Linked DNA regions of Cricetulus griseus. The main gene of each other region encodes a partner of the protein of the gene in region 2 in a complex. Links are inferred from orthologs where the notes say so. Each region holds a gene or a part of one and is shown on either strand. Other genes may lie near its edges.

What was found. Proteins that work in one complex are often made in the same cells at the same time.
Region 1: Smarca5 (region 2) and Rsf1 share a complex: the UniProt entries of both Homo sapiens proteins name them as parts of the RSF-5 ISWI chromatin-remodeling complex. The link is inferred for Cricetulus griseus from reciprocal best matches to the Homo sapiens genes SMARCA5 and RSF1.
Region 3: Smarca5 (region 2) and Dek share a complex: the UniProt entries of both Homo sapiens proteins name them as parts of the B-WICH complex. The link is inferred for Cricetulus griseus from reciprocal best matches to the Homo sapiens genes SMARCA5 and DEK.

Annotation. Positions count from the first base shown.
Region 1 is NC_048596.1:101,817,224-101,820,872, forward strand, and holds part of Rsf1 (remodeling and spacing factor 1), read right to left. Parts: intron 3,346-3,649; coding exon 3,138-3,345; intron 1,285-3,137; exon of another isoform or gene 781-1,284; coding exon 557-780; exon of another isoform or gene 394-556; intron 1-393. UniProt on the Homo sapiens protein: Regulatory subunit of the ATP-dependent RSF-1 and RSF-5 ISWI chromatin-remodeling complexes, which form ordered nucleosome arrays on chromatin and facilitate access to DNA during DNA-templated processes such as DNA replication, transcription, and repair.
Region 2 is NC_048596.1:156,511,599-156,515,761, reverse strand, and holds the start of Smarca5 (SWI/SNF-related matrix-associated actin-dependent regulator of chromatin subfamily A member 5), read left to right. Parts: upstream 1-1,287; 5' UTR 1,288-1,697; coding exon 1,698-1,898; intron 1,899-4,163. UniProt on the Homo sapiens protein: ATPase that possesses intrinsic ATP-dependent nucleosome-remodeling activity.
Region 3 is NC_048596.1:266,810,498-266,814,146, reverse strand, and holds part of Dek (protein DEK), read left to right. Parts: intron 1-394; coding exon 395-489; intron 490-1,219; coding exon 1,220-1,340; intron 1,341-2,857; coding exon 2,858-3,046; intron 3,047-3,649. UniProt on the Homo sapiens protein: Involved in chromatin organization.

The sequences.
Region 1 (3,649 bases), about 55 Mb from region 2:
GGCTCCAAAGCTACATAGAGAAACCCTGTCTCAAAAAAACAAACGAGAGAGAGAGAGAGAGAGAGAGAGAGAGAGAGAGAGAGAGAGAGAGAGAGAGAAATATTTTAATAATTTTATGATTGATTCAATGTTTGACTTCTATTACCTACTTCATATACTTAAGTACTGGAAGTTGTGTAAAAGCTTCTCAGGAATAAAAGGTTGTGAGTGGAAAGTTTAAGAAGCCCTGGTGGGTTAATTGGTTCTGGTATTCACGCTGCAACATCTCAAAATATTCTCAGAAATACTTGGAACCGGAACGATTTATCATATTTAACATTCTCAATATCATAATTTAACATTCTCAAAGAGTTGGCATGAAGGTAACACATTAATTTATATGAATTTTCTCAGATGTGCTCTGTATGAAAAAAGTGACTAGTAAATCATAAGAAAATGACTCTAGAGTCTCATCAGGATGCCTAAGTCACAGCTGAATATAATTCTGACACCTTGGAATTCCAGAAGCCACAGGAAGCAACTGAGTTGCTCTGATACAGACAGAAGGCATTTTTACCAGAGTCTCTACTATTCTCCTCAGATTCTTCTTCCTCTTCATCATCATCAGAATACTTTTTCTTTGGAGTCTTTCTCCGCAAACGCCTGCTTTGTCTCATTGGCCTAGAAGGATGCCTCCTCAGTCTTCGGCTGCAGAAGTCCGTGTCACTGTCCTCATTAGATGGTGGATCTTCTTCACTTTCATCTGGGTTTTCATCAGACACAACAAACTCATCCTGAGATCTGTGCAGGAAAAGCCACATATGTCATGATGGTGCTCTGTTTGTTTTGTAATGGTACAGTTGGAAGTGATAATCAGTTTTTCATAGTTCCAAACACAAACTGTTAAGTAATATTCCAGTGAAACGTTAAGTAATATTTAAAGACACATTTAGAAAATTATGTCAACTTCTGTCTATAAAACGAATATCCTATCACCTATCCTCTTTGTAAAAGCCACAAAGATAAACTGATGCTGAGGGGCTGGAGAGATGGCTCGGAAGTTAAGGGCATTGGATGTTCTTCCAGAGGTCCTGAGTTCAATTCCCAGCAACCACATGGTGGCTCACAATCATCTGTAATGAGATCTGGCACCCTCTTCTGGCCTGCAAGCATACAGACAGATGCTGTATACATAATAAATAAATACATAAATAAATAAATCTAAAAAATGTTTTTTAAAAAGATGCTACTGTTCTCTGTTGTCAATAATACCTTATTTAAAAATAAAAACGTGATTCTAAATTTCATAGACAACTTCTGTCACTGTCCTCTTTGGGATGCATCTTAAATCCAACATACCCCAAAATGCTCATTATTTCTCCTCTTCTATCTACCAGCCTGATATTTAAATTTTTGAATACAAAAAACCTGTCTTCTTCTTATGGGGAGGAATGGGGTACTTGTACTTGCATGTGGATATCAGCCAACATTGTAGAGTAGGTTTTATCCTTCCACCTGTACAAGGTTTCAAAAGATTGAAATAAGGTTGCCAGACTTTGGTGGCAAACACCTGTAGTTGCTATCTGGTATTGAGAATCATTCACCCATCAATAACCCAATCCAGAGACATATGGTATGTATCCTGACTCCTCTTTTAACCTCACACCATAACCCTTTGGGTATTTTTATTAAAAACATTTTCAGGACAAGTTCAAATTTGTATGCATGATAAAAGAAGAAAAATAGAAAAGACCCACCCCAGCCAGGCATTGGTGGTGCACACCTTTAATCCTAGCACTCGGGAGGCAGAGGCAAGCAGATCTCTGTGAGTTCGAGTAGTCTGCAAGAGCTAGTTCCAGGACAGCCTCTAAAAAGCCACTGAGAAACCTTGTCTTGAAAAACCAAACCAAACCAAAACAAAACAAAAAACCCACTCCATAATTGTTCTTTTTTATGTTCTGGTTGCAGCTCTACCAGAGCATTCTCTATTTCATCCCCATACTCAACTTCTCTGTTTCTTTCTTTTTTTTTTAAAGATTTATTTATTTTGTATGCAGTATTCTGCCTGTGTGTATGCTTGCACAACAGAAGAGGGCACCAGATCTCATTACAGATGGTTGTGAATCACCATGTGGTTTCTGGGAAAGGAACTCAAGAACCTCTGGAAGAACAGTTGTGCTCTTAACCTCTGAGCCATTTCTCCAGCTCCATCATTTCCATATTCTTGCTTTTCAGGGAATTTTCTAACTATTCCTTGACATTTGAACATTGGCGTCTTTGTTCAGGTTGCTTTCTTTTCTTACCCTGCCTCTAAACTCATACAGCTGTTCAAAATACTTATTCCGTACATGTTGATGCTAACATTACTTCTTACTGTGAGGTTTCCTTGACTACCTTAGATGGACACATCTAAGGCTATACCCTATATACCCTAACTTTATTTTACCTAAATTACAGAGGCAGGCAGTGCTGAGTAACTTTTCTGTGTTTTATAGACTTCCTACTACATGTACTACTGAGTCAAAAGGAGAAACTCTTGCAGTAGTTTATACTTGTTTTGCATAGAAGCCGTCCTAACCTAATACTGGATTAGTTACCCCTTACCAAACCTCTACAGTGCACCAGAAGACAGTAATTACTTACTCCTTTACAATTTACCAGACTTTATTAAACTCCACTGATGAATTGGGTAGCAAAAGGTAGTATAGAGAAAGATTTCAACAAATAAAATTTCAATTACAGTTAATCAAATTTAAATGTAATATTAAATATTAAACCACCATAAACGTAGCTTTAATTTTAATCTAAAATGAATCAAAACAAGTAATCTCAGATCTGCTTTAAATGTCCTGAAAAATACAGATTGTCCATGTACACGAAGAATAAAAGCCATAACATAGTTCAACCAAGGCTCTCTCAGAACCTGGCTCTGTGTAAGCTGGCACCTAAAGAATGGGTCTTGCCTGCCGGGTGGTGGTGGCACACGCCTTTAATCCCAGCACTCGGGAGGCAGAAGCAGGTAGATCTCTGTGAGTTTGAGACCAGCCTGGTCTACAAGAGCTAGTTCCAGGACAGCCTCCAAAGCCACAGAGAAACCCTGTCTCGGAAAAAAAAAACAACAACAAAAAAAAGAATGGGTCTTGAGGCAGGCCACATACCCGTCACTGATCTTGAATTCATCCTCACTCTCTTCCTCATCTAGGTTGCTATCACTATCAAGATCATTAAGTCGCCGGCGTTTCTTCCTGCGCGCAGCAGCTGCCCTCTGAGGCCTTTTATTTTCCTTTCGTTCTTCATCCAAAATAGTAGAGATGTCTTTCCCACGGTGACCTGTGATGGTGGAGATATCTTTTCCTCGGCCAACTCCTGAGAGGAAGAGATAACTGTATGTTTACTGAATCTTCCCCAGACTTGTAAAAGCAGCAGCTCTTTCTTTGCTTAATTTTCTCAGAAATATGCAGATTGCTTACAACATCAACCAACAATGATCTAAAGAATGAATTAACATGCATATCATACTGAATATGAGTTCACAACTCCTAGTTGTATATTTTGTATGATTGATGACTTAGTGATGCCTCCCTCCCCCTTTATTTCATTGCCTTTTATTTGGTAGAGGGCCATTAAAAAAAAATCTCTCTGTGCAGCCCAGGTTGGCCTTGAATTTGTG
Region 2 (4,163 bases):
GTTGGGATTCTGGGCATGCATCACCACACTGGATCAAAATGGGCTGGGGCTCAAGCCCAGGATGTTTGCAAGCAGTATGTTCTGCAAGCATCCCACCAACTGACCTACAACTGCAGCTTTCAGAAGCACTTACTTCCAGAGAGTTTTTATTAGAGAATTATTCGACTAGTTCAAACATTCGTGTTACATATGTTATTTATTCCAAGAGATTTGAAATTCAACATGTTTTAGTTAACTCTTGAAAGGACTTCATTTATTCAATATTGGTGGCCACTAAGTCATGAATGGGAAGTAGGTGGGTGACACAGGAGAGGACACAAGGCCTCAGAGCCTCCACCACAGCCTAAGCAGAAGCAACACCAATAATTTTTAGAGGCAGGGCTTCTCTGTCACCACCGCCTGGCTAAGAATTTTTTCTTTTTTAGTTTTTGAGACAAGGCCTCACTGTGTAGCCCTGACTGTCCTGGGACTCGTTCTGTACACCAGGCTGGGCTCAAACTCTCAGAGATCCACCTGCCTCTGCCTCCCAAGTGCTGGGATTAAAGGCGTGCGTTACATACTTGACAAACACTTTTTTAAAAAAATAATTTATTTAAATTCATTTTTTGTGCATTGGTGTTCATCTCCTGAAACTGGAGTTGTAGACAGTTGTGAGCTGCCATGTGGGTGCTGGGAATTAATTGAACTCAGGTTCTCTGGAAGAGCAGCCAATGCTCTTAACCACTGAGCCATCTCTCCAGCCCCCTGACAAACATTTCTTAAGCAGACAAAAACGCACATTTTTCTTTGATGCTCGTGGAAAAAATACACGCCATCGTTTGTCCCCAGCTATTGCCATTCCGGATCTCACAGGCTCGCAGTCCATAAACTCTGGAAGGGTGGGATGGCTGATGGGGCGGGCATTTTTTTCTTGGACGTCCGACGTCACTGGAGGGAACCTGTGACGTCTGGCCGTGAGCGACGGCGGCGCGACGGTGAAGGCCAGTCCCCGGGCTGTCGCGCCGCTCCCAGGCCGGCTTCTGTGGCGCGGCGAGAGCCGAAGAGCCGTTAAGAAGCGCCCAGCTCGCGTCACGCACACCTTCGCAAACCTACGCCGACGCGCTTCCTCGAGGCCCCGCCCACTCCCCCCCCCCGCAGTTCGGGGGCGGGCTGGAGGAGGCGGGGCCCAGGAGGAGCAAGCGCATGCGCTCTCGCGATCCGGCCGCTGAAGGGTGGGGGGAGGGAGAGGACTAGCGATCTCGCGAGGGTTGAGAGCGGGTGGCGTAGGCGGCTGTCCCGGTGGTTGGAGAAGAGAACCTACGCGGGGCGAGGAGAAGGCGCCCGGACGCCGCGCAGAACCTTTCGCTTTCCTTTCCCCTGCCCTCAGCCCTCGGTCTCCCCGGAGTCAGCCCGCCCTCCCTGACCTCCGTGACCCCGCTGGCCCCGCCCACCCTCGTCGACGTGATTCCCGCCGTGAAGTCAACGCCGGCGGAGTGGAGCGGAGCCGGGTCCCGCGGAAGAGGAGGTCGGGGCGAGCTCCGCGGCAGGGCCGGCTCGGGTCGGTGGCGGAGCCGCCGCGCGTGAGAACTTCCGGCCGGGGCTCGCTCCTCGGTCGGCCCGGGCGCCAGAGTCGAGCAGGCAGGCCGGCCGGCCCAGGCCGCTTCGCTTCCCTCCGCGCCGCGCCTGCCCGTGGCCGCGGCGGGTGACGCAGCCGGAACATGTCGTCGTCGTCGGCGGCCGAGCCTCCGCCGCCCCCGCCTCCCGAGAGCGCGCCTCCCAAGGCCGCGGCCGCGGGCGCCGGCGGGAGCAGCAGCAGCAGCAGCGGCGGCGGCGGCAACAAAGGCGGCCCCGAGGCCGTGGCGGCGCCTGCGGCTCCATCGTGTGCGGGGGGCGCGGGCCCCGCGGACGCCGACATGGAGGTGAGCACGGCGGGCGGGCGTGCGCGCAGGGAGGGAAGGAGGGAGGGAGATGGATGCTCGCTTGCCCGCTCGCTGGCGCTGAGTCTGCCTCCCTCACCTCTGCGTTTCCCTCCGCGTAGTAGCCTAGGCGGCTCGCCGACCGCTCTTAGGAAACACATGTTCCTGATTACCGTGGTCGAGGGACCCGGTTTCCCCCAGCGTTAGACGCCCTCAGAAGGGCTCTGTTTCCCCCGGATCTGGGTTTTAGTTTGCACTAAACTTTGGGGAAGGGCGAGGGAGCTGGCCCCTTCGCCGTGGAATTCACGGGGCGAGCGCGACGTTTGTCAGCGTCGCACGCAGCCGGGGACTTTGGGCCTCCAGTGCCCCATCCCGGTGCTGGCGGGGGCGGCATCTGTCTGTCGTGGGCAGAAACAATGGCGAGAGCTGGAGGGCCGAATGCGCAGTGGGGATGAGCGGGGCGCAGCTGCCTCTGCAGCAAGGGGAGGCCCCTCCCGAGCCCCGCTCTACCGGGAGGAGAGCGAGCGAGCGAGCCAGCGTGACAGCCGCAGCACCTGTCCCGGATCCCCATCTAATTAGGGGTTGGTGGACGGACGGATGAATGAATGAATGGGAGCATCGGGGGAGGGCGGTGGGCTACTAGCCCAGCGAATTACCTCCTGTTAAAGCCATTCAGACAATTCGCCGTTGAACCACCATCTGGGACTCGAGTGGGCCAGATGATGATGACAATGCTGGAAATGGGGGAGAGGGTGGAAAAATGGGGGAGTTGCCAGACAGGTCTCTTGGATATGCTCCCAGGCTTTGAGTTGCCTGGGAACAAAGATACTGCTTCTAGTTTTTATTCTTGGCCTTGGACTTGTTTTGTGCTGTTCTATAGTTCAGTCTGAGAATTTCTGCACTTATATTGGAATAATACTCTAAAGATGAACCTTGCTGCAGAATTTACACTATAAGGAAATGATGGTGCAGTTGCATCACTTGGATGAAATAATGTGTTGCTAGTCTTTGAAATCACTTTTAGTGTGTGTGGGGGGTGTTAGTGTAGTGCATCAATTTGAAGTGAAGTTTCATTTTAAAATGTATTTGATGCCAGGCAGTGGTGGGCACACCTTTGATCCCAGCACTCCGAAGGCAGAGGCGAGCGGATTTCTGAGTTCGAGGCCAGCCCGGTTTACAGAGTGAATTCCAGTACAGCCAGGGCTACAAAGAGAAACCCTATCTACAAAAACAAAAAATGTATTTATGCCCCTTAAATAAGATTTTAAGTGGTCTTTTGAACTTGTAGAGTTGTTTAACTGGATTGTTGGATTTCTGCTTGAAGTCTGGACACCAAAAACATTGAAGGAAATTATTTGTAAATGTACAATTCACCCCAGAGAGATGCACTTGCTTGCCTAAGCTTTGCAGATTCTGCTCTGCGGTAACTTGAGTCACACATTTCCACAATAGGTGTCATTTCTATTTACAAGTCCTAAAGAGAACTTAAAACCCAAATGAAATTAATTTTTGAGTTTCTGTCTTTCAATTAAAATTTAAATATAGGCATGAATAAGATAACACCTACGATATGAAATAAGTGGTATTTTCGTTCATCAGAGGAGAAAACTGCGTCTTCTGGATAGAGCATGTGACAGAAGTGTGATCTGTTTCCATAATAAGCCTTTTCCACACATCTTGGCCTGTCATTTTTTTAAGTTTGACGATTTTACATATTGAAAAATATCAATAGTTTGTTTTTCTCAGTCGTATTCACTCATTTTCTTTTCTATTAATGTTGTAGTTAATTTTATTGTCTTTTTAAGACTATTACCTTCAGTCTGCTTTCCACTGTGTTAGCTGAATGTAGAATTAGAATTAAGTTTGAGTTTTGGACACTTGCCTAATGTATCTGATGACCTTAAGTAGTTTTTGCAGTTAGAAAAAGAAGACACTAAATTATGAAAGTAATGTCTGCAGTTGGAAAGCACATATTATTGTAGGGTGTGCTTTACCTCTAATGTGTGCTGACAGGGATTTTGTAAGTTAAACTAGGTTGGAGGTTTTGTATTTCCTTGTAGCATTTAAATGTCAGGACGAATGCATTTTTTTTTTGTTTTGTTTTGTTTTGTTTTGTTTTTCGAGACAGGGTTTCTCTGTGTAGCTTTGAAGCCTATCTTGGCACTTGCTCTGGAGACCAGGCTGGCCTCAAACTCACAGAGACCGGCCTGCCTCTGCCTCCCGAGTGCTGGGATTAAAGGCGTTTTTTTTTAGATTTTATCTATCTAT
Region 3 (3,649 bases), about 110 Mb from region 2:
CTGTCTGAAGCATGGTTTAGTTTATTTTCACATGTCCTAACCTCAGTTTGCACAACAATCTAATTTACACACATAAATTAGGGAATGGCATTAACTATTTGGAATACTTAAAAATTATTTGCTTTTTAAAAAATAAGTCATTCACTTTTACACCTACCTAAGGAACAATTATGGTAACTTGGTAGGTGGAAATACATTTAGATTCAAACTTTCCAAAGAACCAACTAAAGTTTGCAGAATTTTTAAAATGTTAATGGCAAATACTTTTCAGTTTAGTTTAATAAATCATTATTTTAACTTGGAAGATGGATTTGAAAATAAAGGCTCTATCTTCAAATTTTTTTATTTGTATATTATTGGATAGTAGCATTAACAATAACAAAAACATTTTCAGGTGTCCTCATTAAAGAAGAATGTGGGTCAGTTCAGTGGCTTTCCATTTGAAAAAGGCAGTACCCAGTACAAAAAGAAGGAAGAAATGCTGAAAAAGTAAGTTATGTTTGTCAATATTGTGATAGGTTGATAATGCTATAAACTTACCGTTAATATTTAAAAATAACTACCTGTTCATTTTTAGTACATTGCTAACTTTAATTTAGGTGCCAGGATTTGACAAGCCTTTCATAGCATCATTTTGGGTTATCTTTTATGTTCTAGTAAATAGTGACAGTTAAAATTATTGAAAACTCTTAAAATTTCATTTTCCAGAAGATATAAATAATCTTTCAGAGTTCATACAGTGTGAAGGAAATGTATTCCTGTTGCCTGCTGTTAGTTACTCTTTCTTCTTAATGTTTTAAATTTGCTTTGAAAATAATTTCTTTGAAAAATTGTCATTTTACATAATGAAAGCAAAGTGACAAACTTTTAGAACTTTTATTTATTAGATGCCTATAGATGAAGAATTTAAATAAAAATGATTAGGTCTTCATTGAGACATTGTAATGCTGAATCATTAACCTAAACAATTTTCAAGTCCATGAGTTTTGTAGTATTAGAAAGTTACATAATTTTCCAGTGACTTTACTTAAACTGTTGGTAAATACACATTTTCTCATGGTTGTACACTAGTCAGGTGATTAAGAGTAAACTACAGGGAAATACTTGTAACTGTTAAGGAGACAAAGCAGACCAATTTTGCTGGCTGTTGACTTTCTGTCATGAAGAATATTTACGAATCTTGTGTAGTTACCCTTTTTCCCCCTGCTTTCTGTTTCAGGTTTAGAAATGCCATGCTAAAGAGCATCTGTGAGGTTCTTGATTTAGAGAGATCAGGTGTGAACAGTGAACTAGTGAAGAGGATCTTGAATTTCTTAATGCATCCAAAGCCTTCTGGCAAAGTAAGGATCTGTTTTTTACTATTTCAGTAAGTTGGTTATTAACAGCCTTTCCTTTCTTTCTCTTACTGAAATGGTAATCTAACAAGATAATTGTTTTGTGAGTCAGTGATGTCATCTGCATTTTAAATATGCCTTTCATTGACAACTGCAATATTTTCATAATATAAATTAAATAGTATATTGTTCTTCAAATGTGAGTTGTACAAGATTAAGAAAAGTAATTGGGTGGTGGTTGCCCATGCCTTTAATTCCAGTACTTAGGAGGCAGAAGCAGGCGGATCTCAGAGTTCCAGGATAGCGAGGGCTATTATACAGAGAACCTTGTCTCAAAGAAGAAGAAGAAGAAGAAGAAAAGTAGCTGGTGGTGATACACATCTTTGATCTCACTTTAATTCTAGCACTCTGAGGGCCGAGACAGGCAGGTCTCTGAGTTCAGGCCAGCCTGGCCTACAGAGCGAGTTCCAGGACAGTCAAGGCTACCCAGAGAAACCCGTTCTCAAAAAAAAAAAAAAAAAAAATAACAAGAGCACCTAAATGTCACATAAGATAAACCAGGGCTCCAGGCTTTTCTGTCTGGAAGGCACTGGAATAAGGGAAATAGGTTGAGGAAATAGTTATGTAGGACTGTTACATAGTTTTTAAATATTTGGAATTTAGCAAACTTCTTTTTTTTTTTTTTAAGACTTTATTTATTATGTATACAAATTCTGCTTCCATGTATATCTGCACACCAGAAGAGGGCACCAGATCTCATAATAGATGGTTGTGAGCCACCATGTGGTTGCTGGGAATTGAACTCAGGACCTCTGGAAGAGCAGTCAGTGCTCTTAACTTCTGAGCCATCTCTCCAGCCCTGCAGATACTCTTAAGAAAGCATTTAAAAATAAATTCATTGGTTGATCAAATCTTTTTCCTCGTGTGATAAGAAATGCAGTTTAACTGAAAGCATAGAGCAAGATACCTATTTCTTGCCTCATTTCATAATTAACATCTATTGCATACTGAAGGTTGTTGTCACTGAGAACTTGGCATTACTGAAAGAGGTGGTACAGTTCTTTTTTTAAATTTAGGGTATATAATTGCTGGTTAAGCTTTATTTTCTCTTCGTAGTTCCTTCCACTCCTTTGATTAAAGCAAGAATCTCCTAGTTATGGAATCTTTAGTGCTTATAAAAATGGAATATATTAAGTCTAATTTCAAATATTGTCTTGATCAAATGTAAACACTACCTGAACTCATTACAATTCATACTTGTAGTCTTGTCTTCAGAACCAACAGTACCTTTTGCAATGATCTTGCCAGGGGTTTACAAGACAGTTAAGAATACTGCTAATGCAGTTTTAGGTAGCCTGACAGATTTAAAGATGACTTCTCTGCTGAGCCTGTAATTACTTTCTGACAGAATTTGAGTTGATAAGTAATTATCAAATGGAGTTGATTAACTTAGAAATACCCTTATTGATGGTACTGTTAATACATTTTTTGGTTTGTTTTTTTTTTTTTTTTTATACATACAGCCATTGCCAAAATCCAAAAAATCTTCAAGCAAAGGTAGTAAAAAGGAACGGAACAGTTCTGGAACAACAAGGAAGTCAAAGCAAACCAAATGTCCTGAAATTTTGTCAGATGAATCTAGTAGTGATGAAGATGAGAAGAAAAATAAGGAAGAGTCTTCAGAAGATGAAGAGAAAGAAAGTGAAGAGGAGGTAAAACATATTTTTAACTATTATTTTCTATCAGATAAATATTCTTTCTATATAAATAAGCAAATAGTTGGCTGTTGGTTCATTTTATTTTATTTTGAGACAGGGTTTTACTTTGTAGCCCTGGCTATCCTGGAACTCACTGTGCAGACCAGGTTAGCCTCAAACTCACAGAGATCCACCCGTTTATGCCTTCCTAGTGCTGTGATCAAAGGCATGCCCCACCAGCAATGTCAGTTCAATTTCATTGTGAAGCTACATAAATGATTGAGCAGGCTTATATCCCACCAAACATTAAAGTTTAAAAATAGTTGAGTTTGTGACCTAGATTTGAAGTGCACCTTGAGCTGGCTTTCCTCATCTAGAGGAGGGAAATGGGAAAGGAAGCAGCAAAATTGTACACTTTTCTGAACAGAAACACTGAGGAGCATAGTCTTTCTTTTCTTAGTATTTTATGTATGGGTCTTTTGTCTCCAAGTATGTCTTTGCACTGCATGCATTCCTAGTACCCACGGCAGCCAGAAGGGCACATCAGAATTGCCTGAAACTGGAGTTATATATGACTGTATGCTGCCACCTTATGGGTGCTAGGAATTAAATTTGGAT